2 linked regions of the Oreochromis niloticus genome follow. The protein of the gene in region 1 interacts with the protein of each later gene in a pairwise test. Links are inferred from orthologs where the notes say so. Each region holds a gene or a part of one and is shown on either strand. Other genes may lie near its edges.

Region 1 (7,472 bases):
TATTGTTCTGGAAACTCGGGAAATGCACATTTCAAGACTTGATACATATTCTGACTCCTAAAATATTATTCCTGCAATAATCAGTCATTGGGTCCTCTACTAAGTAAGAGCCTTTTCTTTTGAAGATTAAAAAATTGTGGGCCCACAATTCAGGATATGGCTTTAAGAAGGCCTTTACTCAGCTGGAAGTGGAATTAATGGAACTGATTTACTGTAATTAACAAGAAAGGAGGGATATCAAAGTGATGTCTGGAAAACAAAAAACAAAAAAGTTTTTAAGGAGATCTACTCATTAGATTGCTAGAATCAAAACCCTATGATGAAAACAAAGGAACTTCAGGAAAATTGAGCAGACTGTGCTTTAATCTACTTGTACAACCATGACCTTCGTGGAAGAGATAATTAAAAGCATCAGAAGTTTTCAAATGATCATCTAAATAAACCTAATGATCTCTTTAACTGTTAAGCATATGGGTGGATGGCTTGTGTTACAGCCATTGGCACAAGATAGAGGGAAGAATAGATTTAATTATACACCACAAATTCTGCACTGCAGTGTCTGCAAAAAAAAGTCCAAGATAAAAAAAGATGATGTGTTTAACAACATTTTAACAATCCGAAAAACACCTCAACCCAACAATGGCTACTGACAGACAAACACTGAAGATTTGTCAGTGGTTCTTGAAATTTTCTGAGCTAAACATCTTCAACAGTTGATGGAGTTAAAAGAAGCTGTGCAGGACGGAAGAAAGATCTGACAAAACTGAAAGAAGTTTGCAAAGAAAGGGTGAAAATCCAGCAAACAAGAATGGTAAGATGTGTTGCTTACAAAGTACTGACCATGGGGGCTTAAACTTTTTATCATAATCACTTTCTTTTTATTAGTTAGGGTAATCATCTGAAATGCATCAAACTCTTTTGAAAATATAATGGAAAAAAAAAGCTAAATACATTAAAGATGCTCACTTAGCTATTCAAAGTGAGACAAATGTCTCTACTCTATAGAAAATATTTAACCTCCACAGGGACAACATACCTTTAAATAAAAAAAAGAAAGAAAGAAAAAACAAGATTTGCATATCTTTTTTTAAAATTCCCCCATTTACCTTTCATCTCCTTTAATTTGGTAAAAAGGCGTTCAAAGTTATCAACATCTACATCTCCAGTTGTGAGGTTAGCGAGCTCCTGAATGTCCAAATCAGTCATTGCATCTGAGGGAGATCAAAAAAATGTGCTGTATGTTTATACACATAACTAACAGTGGCAGCAGTAGTATTTTGAGAAATCTGAGAAAAATTGATTCACAACTTAGTAAAAAATATTCTATCACAAGGCATTCGCTTACCAACTACTGCCTCTTCCTGTGTGTCTGTGTTTGTAGTACTTTCTGTATGGTTAGGCTCCTCATTGTTAACGGTGCCCTCTACTGGTAAGCTGGAAGACTACCAAAGAAACAAAACAGCTTGGATCAGCATGCCTCCACAAAAACAACTTTAAAAACAACATAAATTGAAATTGTATTGATTCAAGCAAGCCAGCAAGAAAACGCATTAAAAACACTATTAAAACCTAAATAAATCGATCAATATCAAAAAAGGAAAATGCACTGACTGGTGGATCTTGGCAGGTGCGTGGGTTGTTATGTCTGGAAGCCACCAAACTGCTCATCAGACCAAAGCCCTGATTGTGCCCTGTTACGAGATGTAAACTGTCACATGCCATACATGCATACACAGAGTATGTAGTAGTTAAATAAAAGGTTATGTCATCTTACCATCCTTCATTTCCACACTGGACCACACATTTGCATTGAGAGCCTGAACAATTCTCTTTACTCCTGTGGATTCTGGAAAGTCGTCTGATAGGGGAAACAGAATAGTGTGAATGCGGGTGAAAAAATTATCAAAACACAAAGAATTGAGATATAAATCTGGGTGGTGTCACTGCTCATTTCTTCCATTTGAGAAACTCACCATCCTCATCTGGGAGCTCCTGAGGATTGAGTTCTACAAGCTCAAACGCATGAGCCAAACACCACTGCTGCGCTTCATGTCTGGTGACTCCTACAACATAAATTAGAAGTTGTATCCCCCACAACTTGTATGTAAGACAGTGTTTTCTGCAAGCCACATGCAGAGCAGAAAAAACTGACCATTTTCACAGACTCTGTCACAGACCAGGATGAGCACCTCTGGCGCAAGATCTTCCACTACCGGTATCCAAGGTTGTAGCTTTTGCAGCCCATCTTTCTGCAAACATAATGGATGATATAAAGGCATGAAGAAACGTGCTGTTTAGACTTATAAATATAACTTCTTATGTCACATACCGCTTTGCTGTCAAAATAAGCGATGAAAGCTTGCATGGACTGGGCAATCTCTGACGACATGTGAAACGTGCTTGAGACAACACACAGATTTACATCTGCCGTATAATACTTGTTGTTGATGGTCCAAGGGTACCAGACCACTGTTTCCTCTCGCTTTGTCGGCTCGGGTAAAGTCTTCGTACTGAGGATTTCTGAGACAAAAACAAATCTGTTGATCTACATGAACAAAGACGTCAAGCTAAGCTTCTCACGGTGAAAGCTCAAGCTACAGGAATTGCATTACCCTTAATTAGCATTACCATATCGGTTGTATATCAGCTTGGCGAAAGTAAAGAACATAAAATGGCTTAAACGCATAAAACGCTATTAACCCGACAAAAATACATAAAAGGGCTTCCAGATGCTATCGCTTAGTTAGCTCTGTTTAACGTTAGCTTCCTTACTATTATGTTATTTTCACCTTAACTTACGTTTGATTAGTTCTTCTTCTTTAAACTCGCTGTCACAGCTAGTGACAAGCACACACGGGGTGGCCATTTCTGTATTTTCTTCTGAAGCTGACATTTTAATTATAAATGAAAGAGAAAGCTTCTTCAGCTATTAGCTTAGCGTTACGATGGAAAACTTGGGAGACCTTTCAACTCTGACCAGCCTCTTCCGGTGCACGTTAAACAGTCTGGTGACGTTTAATTGTAAAAATGTTTTTCTATCCATCTATTGTAATTGAAACTAAGTAATAATAATGATGATGATAATAATAATAATAATAATTATTATTATTATTATTATTATTATTATTATTTAAAAAGCAAAAACAAAAAATTGCAGTCTGCGTTTATGAAACTTTTATGTGAAGTGAGGGACACAGAATTTTAACCCTGTTTTGTCCCTTTCAGACAAAGCAACCACTCCTCCAAACAAATCTAACATCAGCTGATATGTTTTAGAAGGTGATTAAAGTAAAGGCCATGGTTATGTGGCAATGGGATGGTAGTATTGGGATAAACAATTATGTACTTAGACGTGACCCTTATATGCCTGACTGTCAAACTCCGGAAAGAAATGAGCTGCATGGTGTCTCGTCGTCAAGGTTACGTGTACCGAATCAGAAACTTTCACTGGTGACAAGCCAATTGTTTCGCTAACAGTGGGTAACTAGTACAGTTCGCCATTATGCTGTATATATTTCAGTTACAAACCCATAAATAATGATGAAAAAAAATGTCCGACGTGGTTAAGAAGGAAGACAAGTCGGGAGCTGTTTCGGTTCGGGTAAAGTTTCCTTGACTTATCTTGCCTTTAGCTAAATCATCAAACTCGTGTGTGCTGTTTTTAGGTCATTTTCTGGAGTATTTACATTTTATGACTGTATTGCAGGTTGAAGACGATTTAAGACAACTCAAACCTAGTCTTGAGAAAGTGATTGTCAGTGAGGGGAGGACAACACTGAACATTCAGGCCCTGAACATCAGGGTGAGAAATCTTCACGCACAGTAGCATTTATATTAAATAAAGAGACTTAAGTCAAACATAGTACACGTAAAAACCGACAGTTAATAAGTTCTTGACTGTCTGTAGAAACATGCAGAGGATTGTTTGAAAACAGTGAATAAGCAGCAGCTGATTCTTCCACCCATTGGCGATTTACAACAAAAGACTCTTTCTAAATGGTAAGTAGTATTTTTAGTGGGAATATTTTGCTCAACCATTACCTTTTTGCAAATTTGATTAAATATGTTTAGAATTGTTATGAATTCTAGTTAATTGGGATTGTGAGTCTGAAAGAAAGTCTTTACACAGGACTCCTTGTCTGGAGAAAATCTCAGATGTGAAGAAACAGAGAGAAACCCTTCCAGGAGCTCCAGCAGGGGAACAGGTAGATTATTATGCGTATTCAGAAACTTTAAAGGGTAATAAATGACCTTTTTTCAATTAAAGAGGGTGTGTACAAGCTAAAACACGTGCAGTACGATAGGCAAGGTAAAAGTGGGCAAGAATTGATACCTTTTTTGTTTAGCAAAAATCCTAACTATTTACACGCTCATTGGAAAAATTATTAGGTACACCTGTTTGCATTAACAGCATGTAATGCAAATATCAATAGGCCAATCACATGGCAGTAACTTGGTGCATTCAGGAATGTACAAAAATCACCTGCTGAAGTTCAAACTGGGCGTCAGAATGGGCAAGATGATTTTAGTAACTCTGGACGTAGCATTGTTGGTGCCAGGCGGTCTGTTCTGAGTATTTCACAAATTGCTAGTTTACTGGGATTTTCCTGCACAACCATCTCTATAAGGTATACAGAGGATTGTCTGAAGGAGAGAAAATATACAGTGAGCGACAGTTCTCTGGATCAGAGAATAGCCAGACTCCTTTGAGTTGATCCATCCCTTTATGGCTACAGTGTAACCATCTTCAGATGGCTGCTTCCAGCAGGATTATGCACCATGTCACAAAGATCGTTTATTTCAAAGTGGTTTCTTGAACATGACAATGAGTTCACCGTACTCGAATGGCCTCAACAGTCACACGATCTTAAACAGAGCACCTCTGGGATGCAACAGATCTGTATCAGTAGCATGATACTGTCATGTCAATATGTACCAAAGTCTCTCAGGAATGTTTACAGCCCCTCGATGAAACTTGTGCCATTAAGAATTAAGGCAGCTATGATTCAAAAGGGGGTTCAACCTGGTACTGATGAGGTATACCCAATGAATAGACTAATGAGAGTGCATCTTCTATTACAATTTCTGAATTTTTTCCTTTCTCTGTTTCAGGACAAGTTAGCATTGAACATGTGTTTGCCAAACAAAAGATCCATTAGGCATCAGAAATCTGTGAAATCACTTACTGATACTCACAGGAAGAGAGCAAATGAGGTAAGTAATATTCCATAAATGTAGAATAACCTAATGTTTGCTGTACTTTGCTATCACGCATGATTTCTGTAGAAACTACACCTTACAGAAAGTCATAGTTTCTTTCAAATGAAGTATAAACGTGGTATTACATTTACTGATCATATACATTATGTTATAACATAAACAACTCTTAATGCAGTTATTCTTATTGTGATGTATTATTTACCACAGGTGGGTCTAAAATAAACCCTGTGAACTTGCCACTTTAGTCAGCTTTTCTCTGGAGCCTTTGACTCTCTTTATGATGTCGACAGTTGTTTTTTTCTCCAAAAATTATGTGCTACAGTTTGTCGGATTGAATACTCTACACAAAGTAGGTGACAGATAATTTGCAGTGGCTTTGTAAAACGGTACCACAAAAGAGAATTTAGACTTTTCATTTGTTGCAGAAATAAGGCTGCATGTTTTCTAATTATATTTTATATGTTTTCATGGGGCATTTCAGTCTTACCGCTGGAAAGGACACCAATCACTGCATGAAGTCTTGGCTATAATCATAGATTTGTCAGAGTTTAATCATGAAATAATAATTATTTCCTCCGGGTATTTACTTTGTACAGTGAGAAAAGTTTCTGCTGCACCTGTGGTGAATTAGATATCATTGTTCTTTTCCCTGATACTTACTCTCTAATCCTTCCAATAGACAGTGTGTGCTGGAGTGAAGAGTGATGGTAGTGTTCTGTATTAATAGATGCCTCAAGTCTCATGTTCAGACAGTCTGTGACGTAAAGGTCACTTGGCTTAGGGATGACATCCAGCACTTGTCACAGCAAACAAATTAATCTTTGCAAAGGTCGGCATTAGTTTTAGATCTATTTTACACACTTTTCTGATATGTTTTTGGGAATCTCTACCTGACACGAGAAACATAGGCCAAGACTGTCACTCTGATATAGGAGAGATGGAATTGCTGGCTGCAGAAAGCGGAAAGCAGCAGATTGCAGCACATCAGCATTCTTCTAAAGAAACAGGCGCCTGATTGCTGTGCTATGGGCTACTGGTTTACAGCTGTCTCAAGACAGAAGTGGATACCTGGTCCAGCATGCCAATAAGACAGCCGTAGCTTCCCCAACTGCTAACCACTGGCTCTCTGCCTGCTACCATCTCCTGCAACTCAGGCCAGCTCTTTTTCTCTCCATACCCATGCCAGGCAATGAGCGTTTGCATTTTAGCAATTTTACAAAGGGTGCCACCTTTTTCCCAGCCTCATCTGAAACAGATGTGTGCCTTTGAGGGGAGAATCTCACTGCACCTGGCTGCTACCTGTGGTCTGTCAAAGAGCTCAGTGGTCTGAGAAGAACAAAAGAAAGGACATTAGGTGACAAATCGGGAGGAGCACAAACTTTCTGTTTCTGTTTTCTGAGTTGTGAAATGTTTAAATGTAGTCACAAGAAATTCATACTGAAATTAGGCCAATAAATCTTGTTTTATTGTTATTGTGATCCAGTGTTATGAATTAAAATGTTTAAGGTTAGCAGATTTGAATAGCTATGATTGATAGTGAGTTACAGCGAAGGTCCTATTGCCAGTGGCACTTTTCTAAATTCTTAATGAATGCAGAAAACCTGTTGTTTCTGATAAAGCATGCTATCCTGAACCGCTTGTTTATACTTATTCCCCTAGAAAATGTTTTCATGTCTAATGGGACAAATGAGTTTTAGTGTGGATAGCAGCAGGTAATGTCAGGCAGCGTTTTGTTGGTTGTGTTTACATCTGATGTACAGTCACTGATGTTACGAAAATCTTCTGTTCAGGCAAAAGGTGACAGGATAATCTCTGGCTCTGTGGTGAATCTTCAAGCAGCTGAATCAAAGGGCCATCACATCCTGGTAGTCCCCAAAGAAGACTTTGGGACAGGTTAGCAGCATTTCACCACCCCTACACCATCACCTCATCTGTTATACTCCAGACAAACATCCGTTGACATTCTGTGTTTGCTTAATGTTTGTGGGAACTTTGATCAAGTCAGTAATTCCACAATACTTTATAGTGTCAAACTCCAAATCATATAAATTGTTATATTAAGTTAGTAGTATTAAGTTTCCATACTATTATATATTTTTTTAATCCTGGGAGGGGATGAACGAGGACAAGCACAATGTCATTATCTTCTTTTAATTCGGTGATGTATTTTCTCAGTGCCACATCCAAATTTGTGTTCTGTGTCGATCGAGTACAAGGCTGCTTCTCTTTATCCCAGAGAAGATTGATATTTT
Region 2 (7,628 bases), on another chromosome or scaffold:
TTGGTTCACCACCACGTTGTTTTGACCAATTATTATTTCCTTTGTTGTGTCAAAAATTTACAAAAAAAAAGAGTCCGCAGGAAACGCGACCACAAGGATCAGCCTTGATTTACAAAAAAGCGCCGCTGTTGGAAGAGTACAACAGTTCGTACGAAAGCCTTGTGTGTGTGTGTGTGTTTTTTTCCCTTTCTGATGTTAAGCCCCTTGCAGGATAAATGTGTGACGTTGTGTTTAAGTCTATTTTTTCCCCCAGCTTCCCAGTAATGGCGGCATGCTCTTCACAGAGAGACACTCTCGCCCAGCGGTAAATATACACAATTACAACAAACGCAGACTGTTTATGATACGCTGCTCACCGCCACACTATTAAGGCGTAGCTAATGGTGACTAGTAAGCCGAGAACAACAGTGAATTTATTTCAAATGAGCCATCATAATACTCTTCCATACGTATGTATATTTAAACTAAAAGAAAATAGTTGGCATATAACATGCTGAATACATTAGAAATTAAAAAGAAATATTTGAAAATATTCGAAACAACAAAAAACACACACATGCAAACAAAGGGTGACTATGCTTTAGCTAGCAACCAGCTACTTCTAGTTACTTTAACTATTTCTATTACTTTCCAGTTTCGTTTCTTTATAGCTCTTTCTTTTATTTTAAATTGAAGAACAGCAAACTAGCTCCGTTGTACAACATGGACTTATTTGTGAGTTGTATCAAAGTGGGGCTAATGTCTTTAATGCCTCATCTTGGGTTACTGTTAAACATGAAACTGTTATTTATTATTTCTAAGCATAAAAAAAGAAATGTGTTTATGTTATCATGACTGTGATTAATTTATTTTATTTTGGCCCATTTGCGTTCATGGCCCCCACGGCTCCCATACCACTTCCTTGCAAAACTGACCACCATTTCCCCGGACAGATTCAAGCATTAGTTATACAACACTATGCAAAGGTCTTGAATAACCCATTCGTTTCTTTATATTTTCCCAGGAAAATGGAAATAGGTGCAGCGATTTATTGAAACATCTGTAAGGATATGTGAAAATACAGTATATAAGGCAAAAACAAAGTTTGAACTATTCTAATGAGCTACGTCAGTAAAGTTCCCATATGTGTTTTTTTAATTTAGGTATCCTTTGACTGCACTGGAAGTGTGTTTGAGGTCATAGTCATGCTTTAAAATGAAGCTGATGCTAATGGGATGGTATTTTGATGATGGATCAAAATTTGACTCTATATTTCTGTATTCAGGATTTCATCAGTTCCCATCAGATCCCTCACACCACTGCCGCTGAACTGCAGACCCAAACCATGGCAAACACTCTACCATGTTTTGCTGATGACTCTAGACACTCCCTGTTTTACCCCTGCCCTGATCTCCTCTACACATACTGATGATGATTTCAACTGAGAAAAACTTCAAATGTGGATCCGTCACTCCTGTTGCCACTGATCTTTTCTTCTTGTTCCCTTTCCTTAGGAATGGCTTCTTGACAGCCACCTTATCAAGAGAGGAACTAATTACAAAATGATTTGATTGTGACAGACTGCTAGTAACAAAAGTGTCTAAAGAAACAAATTTAATTAGTCTCTTTGTTAATTTTTCTGATATCTGCTATGTGTAGAAAACCAGGTGTGGTTCATCTTTTGAGTTAGGTTCCTTTTTTATGGTTGAATGATTCATAGGTCAATACTAAGTGGTTCACTTAGCATTGATGATTGGCTGAGGACTTTTGCACAGAACTGTTGCTTAATAGATTTAAATAGTTAATGGCTGAATCATTTGTGATAGATTTGTTGTGCATTCACCCAAGGACTTCCACCTAAACTGTTATTGAACAGCAGAGAGAGGAAATGTTTAATGCCTTTCCTGAGAAAAATTAATCATCTTAAAGGTTAGTCCTAATTATAAGTGTTGTTCACTGAGTTATGTGCTCGTCAAGAGTTATTGCGAAGTGTTTTCTACTTTGATTAAAGCCATTTAAAAAATTACGCTTTTAAGGCAGAGAGTTGAGATACATTGGAGAAATATCTGCAGTGTTGTACAAGACAACAGCCTGTACTAATAGCTCAAACAGATGTTTAGTGTCTAGCAGTGAGACCCTCTCTTGAAATTCTTTCTCTCTCTCTCTCTCATTCACTCGCTTCCTCTCTCTCCCTGTTAGTCCTTCCTTGAACTCTCAAGAACATGCAATTCCGATCTGGTAATCTAAACTCTGTGTGATATGAAAACAAATAGTTTGTGTGGCCGTAGAACTCAATTTATTGTTTTGAACTGGAATTTGGCACTTTAGGGGATATTTAAGACTAAACCATTGTAAACAATAGAGCCATCGTGTTTAAAGGTTTATTACTGTATTCAACCTCCTGGAGTGTTGGATAGCAGAATCAAAACATAGCAGAAAATCATTTGTAATAAAAAAAAAATAGGAAAGAAATTATGTTGTTCTTACATAAGTTATTAAATTGAAGTACATAATGTGCACTATGTGTGTTCTGACAAGCTTGAATTGTGACCCACCATTAAATACACAGTCAAACAGGGTTCAAGGTGCACTGTCCTCTGTTTGAGTAAGTCCACACGCTTCTGTCCCATTGCATTACTCACTAGGTTCTCAGCAATATTTGCATGACCCCAATCACACAAACCAAGATTAGCTGGGGTCAAAGTGTGTGTTGAATAATGTGCCTCTGTTTTACATCCCTTTCGCCTACCTCCACTTGTTTTTAAAACAGGCCAAGGTCTTGCGACTATCACAAAACATTGCTATGCAGTGCTGTTTATGCGTATAATTCTTATATAACCACCATGGCAAATTTTATTTTTATTTTACTCTAAAATACGCGGCAGTATCAAAACACAGCTGCAAGCATTATACGGAAGAAAAACACTGCACTTTTTGTTTAATCACTGGTTTGTTTCCTCTTTCATTTTATTATTATTTTTTCCATCCCACTTTCAGTCCTCGTTGTATCTGCAGCTAAAATATGTCTCAGTCCCAAGGGCAGCGCATTCCTCCACTCACAGTTGTGCAATCCCTGACAATCACAGTCCCCCATCCCCCCCACCTCTGACTCCCTAAACACCCAGAACAGAGGCAAGCTGTCCAAGCTGTCTGGGCAATGTTCTGCGGTGAACTGGCTGCCCAAGCACACCAGTAAACAAACTCTGACTCTGCAGAAAACAACCTCCAAAAATAATGTAACCTCAAGGGGCTGCAAATAAGTTATATAGGCTATTGCTGCTTTTCAGCCTGTAATGAGTTTCGGTATAAATCTTTTGTATTCTACAAATCTTCCTTTTTGTTCATACGTCTTTATGCTAATTATACGCAATAATCTAATATAATTAAGTGGATATAAATAAAACTATCAGTTTGATTAACTGTGTATGTGACAAATACACTATCATGTTTGGGGACTTTTTTACATTTAGTAAGTCTGTATGTGAGCAATTTTCACCATGTGTATAAACAAATAGAGCAGACAAAAGTCTCTTTGGACTATGATGATGTGATCTGTAGTGAGATCAGGCAGCACGTGGAAGAGAGCCTGGAGAAGTGGAGGTATCCTCTGTAGAGAAGAGGAATGAAAGTCAATAGAAGCCAGACAGAATAGACGTGTGAATGAGACGGAGACCGATTTAACAGTGAAGGTGACAGACATTGCACAATAGAGAAGAAGAAGAGAGTGCAGGCAGGGTGGAGTGGGTGAAGACGAGTGCCAGGGGTGATTTCTCACAGATGGATAGCGGCAAGAGTGAAAGGGAAGATATAGATGTATGGTTTAGAGATGGTGGCCCTTACAAAAAGACAGGAGTTAGAGTTGAACATCCTCAGATTTTCACTGGGAGTGGGACCAGGAGGAACAGGATAGGAAATCAGTATATCAGAGGGACAGCTCAGGTGAAGTGCTTTGGAGACAAAGTTAGAGAGCCAAGGCTGTGATGTTTTGGACATGTGAGGCGGAGGGATAGCTGATATATTCAAGAAAGGTTGTTAAATATGAAGCTGCCAGGTAGGCAGACAACAGGAAGATCATCGAGAAGGTTAATGGATGTAGTAAAGGAGGACATACAGAGGACTGGTGTGACAGAGGAGTATGCTAGGCAAGGGAGATAGGAGATGAAGGGAAATTGATTCACTATGGCGACCCTTAAAGGGAGCAGCCAAAAGAAGAAGAAGTGTTAACCAGTCTAAGAACTGACAGGAAATTGCCCAAGAGAAGAGTGACATATTTTTTTAATCAAGTTTATAGTATTAGGATACTATAAAAATAGATAACAAGTGGAATGCAATACTTATGAAATTATTCCACAGGAAGTGCTTCCGGTAGTTCTTTCAGAAAAGAATAAAACCTGAAACAAACACGAAAAACGACAAAAATATTTAGAGAGATGGGCTCTTTGCTTCTCATGTGATCCACTGCACGACTCAATACGAGACGCCACACAGTGATGTTGGTTGTTGTAGTTCTATATTAAAACCCATTGCTTCTAAATGTAACAACAAAAACTACAATCCCATCATGCAACGTGACGCAGCCATAGTTTTGCCACTTCCTATTAGCTTGGAGAAGATAGCGGACGAGCGGTCATAAAATATCGATGTATTAATGTGAAAATTATTGCACACTTGCTTGGGAACCTGCTGCTTTGGAGTCTCTAAGGTCCATATTTGGGAGGCGAAAATGGTAAATATGTCTCAAACGAACTATGTTGTATTTTCTTCTCATGTCAGGAACATTTGTCGTTTGGTTGCTAGCATCTGAGAGTTCGCCAGATCGGCTATTCCATTCAGTGAGTAGAAAACGATAAGCTAACTGGGACGCCAACAATTTAAAATCAAGATGTTTTACCAAACAGATCAACTATCAGTTTACTGAAATAGATCGTTTTTACCTTGCCGAGTTCTCCGAAAAATGATGCTGTCAAAATGAATGGGTGTGGTTTAGCTAACACTATGTTTAACTGTCGATAAGCTGTAGATAAGCTAAGGGTAGCTACAGTTACTTGTAATTTCTCTTACATATTAAAATAGTTGGATGCCTAAATGGTAAGTATCTCCAAAGTTATCATGTGTACGACAGCTACTAATAGGCAAAGTAAGATTATATTGTGTGTTGCTAGTGAGTCATTTTTGGGAGTTTCATAATTCTGTCAGTATCAAACTGCTTACTTGTTCAGGACAAGTAAAGAATGCCTCATTTATTTATTTTTTTTGTCTTGTTTCTTACAGATCCGCTTTATCCTCATCCAGAACCGAGCGGGAAAGACACGACTGGCCAAATGGTACATGCAGTTTGATGATGATGAGAAACAGAAGTTGATTGAAGAAGTGCATGCTGTCGTTACTGTCAGAGATGCCAAGCACACCAACTTTGTGGAGGTATGGGATTTGGCAGTGCCACATGTACCCACATTTTCTTTTTTAAAATGATTCTTTGACATGCTAGAACAGCAACAACCTCTTTTCTCTAATCCTGTATAATGACACAGCTGGCTCAGCTCCTTCGGTGTATAGATATTGCAGGCATTATCTCTTAGCATGTTTTTTTTTTTTTAATGTTATATGCATAACTGAATGAAATTCTAGTGGAATACAACATCAAAAGAAAAGAGAACCCGTTTTGTGGATCAGGTTTTTAATGCTATTAAAAAAAAAATCAGTATGAATGTATGCATGCTGGGTGTGTTTTACCTTACCGTGGGAGCTTCAGCCCTGGTAAATCTGCTGCTGTTGTCACAATATGCGAGATTAAGCTCTTAAGAGGATTTTTCTGTTGTTCTCACAGTTCAGGAACTTCAAGATCATTTACAGACGTTATGCTGGTCTGTACTTCTGTATTTGTGTGGACGTGACTGATAATAACTTGGCATACCTCGAGGGAATCCACAACTTCGTAGAGGTAAATGAAACACACAGTATATAGACCTAGTAAGTGAGCTATGATAATTTAGTTGTCATGGTCTGATGGTTTTCAAGAATATCTCTCAATGATTTTGTTCAGAGGCTATCATTCTTCACTGGCGTGGAGCTCCTTTAGAACTTCTCTGGGTTGTAAGGATTGCAGTAAAATTATATGTAGTAAAAAATCTTGAAGTTGAAGTGAAAAAGTAAAAAAAAATAATAAAATAAAAGCTGGATTACAAAGAAGCAGAGGAAAAGAAAAGAAAGAAAATAAATTACTTAAGCATTATTCTGTACAGCTAAACACAATCCACATATTAGTTACCAACCTATATTGAAATATATGTGCATTTATAGCTAAATGCACATGTATTTCAATATTATTTTTTCATCTTTACATAACAGAGAGAACAGGAAGAAAAACAAACTCCCCTATTGCCTCTTTCATCAGTCTCCACTGGTATTCACAGTTTTCACCCTGGCTCAAAGCATCCCATATTCAGCTAGTCAATTCTGCCATTTATTCTTAAAAATATCTTTATTTTGATATATTTCCCCTGCCCACATAATGATACTGTTATTCAAGTATTTACCTTCCACTTAATAGAGGACAATTGTAAAAACTGAATCGGTAGCAGAGATCCATTATGCTGTGATCTGACTTCCTGCTGATAAAATCTGTATAAGACTATAGAACTACAACATTATACTATAGAATGCCCTATTTTTGAAGCATATTCCCAGTAGGCACGTATCTATAAAATAATTTAACCTGTGAAATTCAAACTGAAAGATCAAATGTAGTTATGCAGATATAAACCCTTTCTTCCATGGCATACATATGTCCAATTTTAAAAGATGATATGTTTTCTTTTTTATCTGTTCCTTTCTGAAGAGCACATCATTTAGTTTACATTATTATAATATTGTTTTCCAATTGTGAACGCCATTTTGGATTTCAAATAACTCAGGTATAAACGATGCTTTAAATTCAGAATAAAGTGCTACCTGAATTTCTGCATTTTTAAAAGTCTAACTTATTCATAGTTTTTAGTGAAGTCAGATTATTTTCTATAAATCTGATTTAGCTGAAGCTCATACCACAGCTTGTATCTATAGTTTAATCTTTTAGCATGACTGTATTTCAGTACAAATTCCAGAACCCATTAAAGCTATGTTTACGTCACATTCATTTTACAGTCTTGGGTGTATCATTTTTGACTAGTGTTAGTGTTATGCCATGCTGGAAAAAAATGTTATCGTTAAAATATTGATAGATTTGATAACGCCTTGCCACATAGATACACTGCAGTGCCAAAAGGCAGCATTACACTATTTTATGACTTGGCTCAAAAGTCACAGCATGAAGACTGATACCACAGTTTCTAAAAACACTGGTTTTATTTTAAAGTACTTAAAATTTCAGCGAAAAATGAAAGGCCAGAGAGCATAAAGACAAGAAGTGCCATCCTCCTAAGCCAACCTCAGGCATGGCTTTATCCAATCTCGTCAGGTGTAGACAGTTGGCCACTGTCACTGCAAGAGAAGTAGAGGTTGCAGATGGGTGTACCACCTCCCCTACTCAAAAAGGTTCCTCCAAGATCCCCAAATAAAGAAATACCCCTCTGGAGTCTTCTGGTTCTTGATATCCTAGATCTGAAATACAAATAGGGAAAGCAGGACAACACGTGTGCCTTGCAACGGTG

What was found. The genes of interacting proteins can lie anywhere in the genome.
Region 2: the proteins of aagab (region 1) and ap2s1 interact in binary tests that used the Homo sapiens proteins (3 or more experiments, as listed by UniProt). The link is inferred for Oreochromis niloticus from reciprocal best matches to the Homo sapiens genes AAGAB and AP2S1.

The regions. Positions count from the first base shown.
Region 1 is NC_031972.2:51,480,336-51,487,807, reverse strand, and holds the start of aagab (alpha- and gamma-adaptin-binding protein p34), read right to left. Parts: upstream 3,001-7,472; 5' UTR 2,894-3,000; coding exon 2,800-2,893; intron 2,521-2,799; coding exon 2,330-2,520; intron 2,250-2,329; coding exon 2,153-2,249; intron 2,064-2,152; coding exon 1,974-2,063; intron 1,859-1,973; coding exon 1,775-1,858; intron 1,692-1,774; coding exon 1,612-1,691; intron 1,443-1,611; coding exon 1,346-1,442; intron 1,212-1,345; coding exon 1,107-1,211; intron 1-1,106. Other genes in the region: iqch (IQ motif-containing protein H), read left to right, coding at 3,551-3,601, 3,707-3,802, 3,908-3,999, 4,130-4,205, 5,113-5,214, 7,011-7,113. UniProt on the Homo sapiens protein: May be involved in endocytic recycling of growth factor receptors such as EGFR.
Region 2 is NC_031979.2:22,060,305-22,067,932, forward strand, and holds the start of ap2s1 (AP-2 complex subunit sigma), read left to right. Parts: upstream 1-4,541; 5' UTR 4,542-4,702; coding exon 4,703-4,705; intron 4,706-5,250; coding exon 5,251-5,400; intron 5,401-5,806; coding exon 5,807-5,920; intron 5,921-7,628. UniProt on the Homo sapiens protein: Component of the adaptor protein complex 2 (AP-2). Adaptor protein complexes function in protein transport via transport vesicles in different membrane traffic pathways.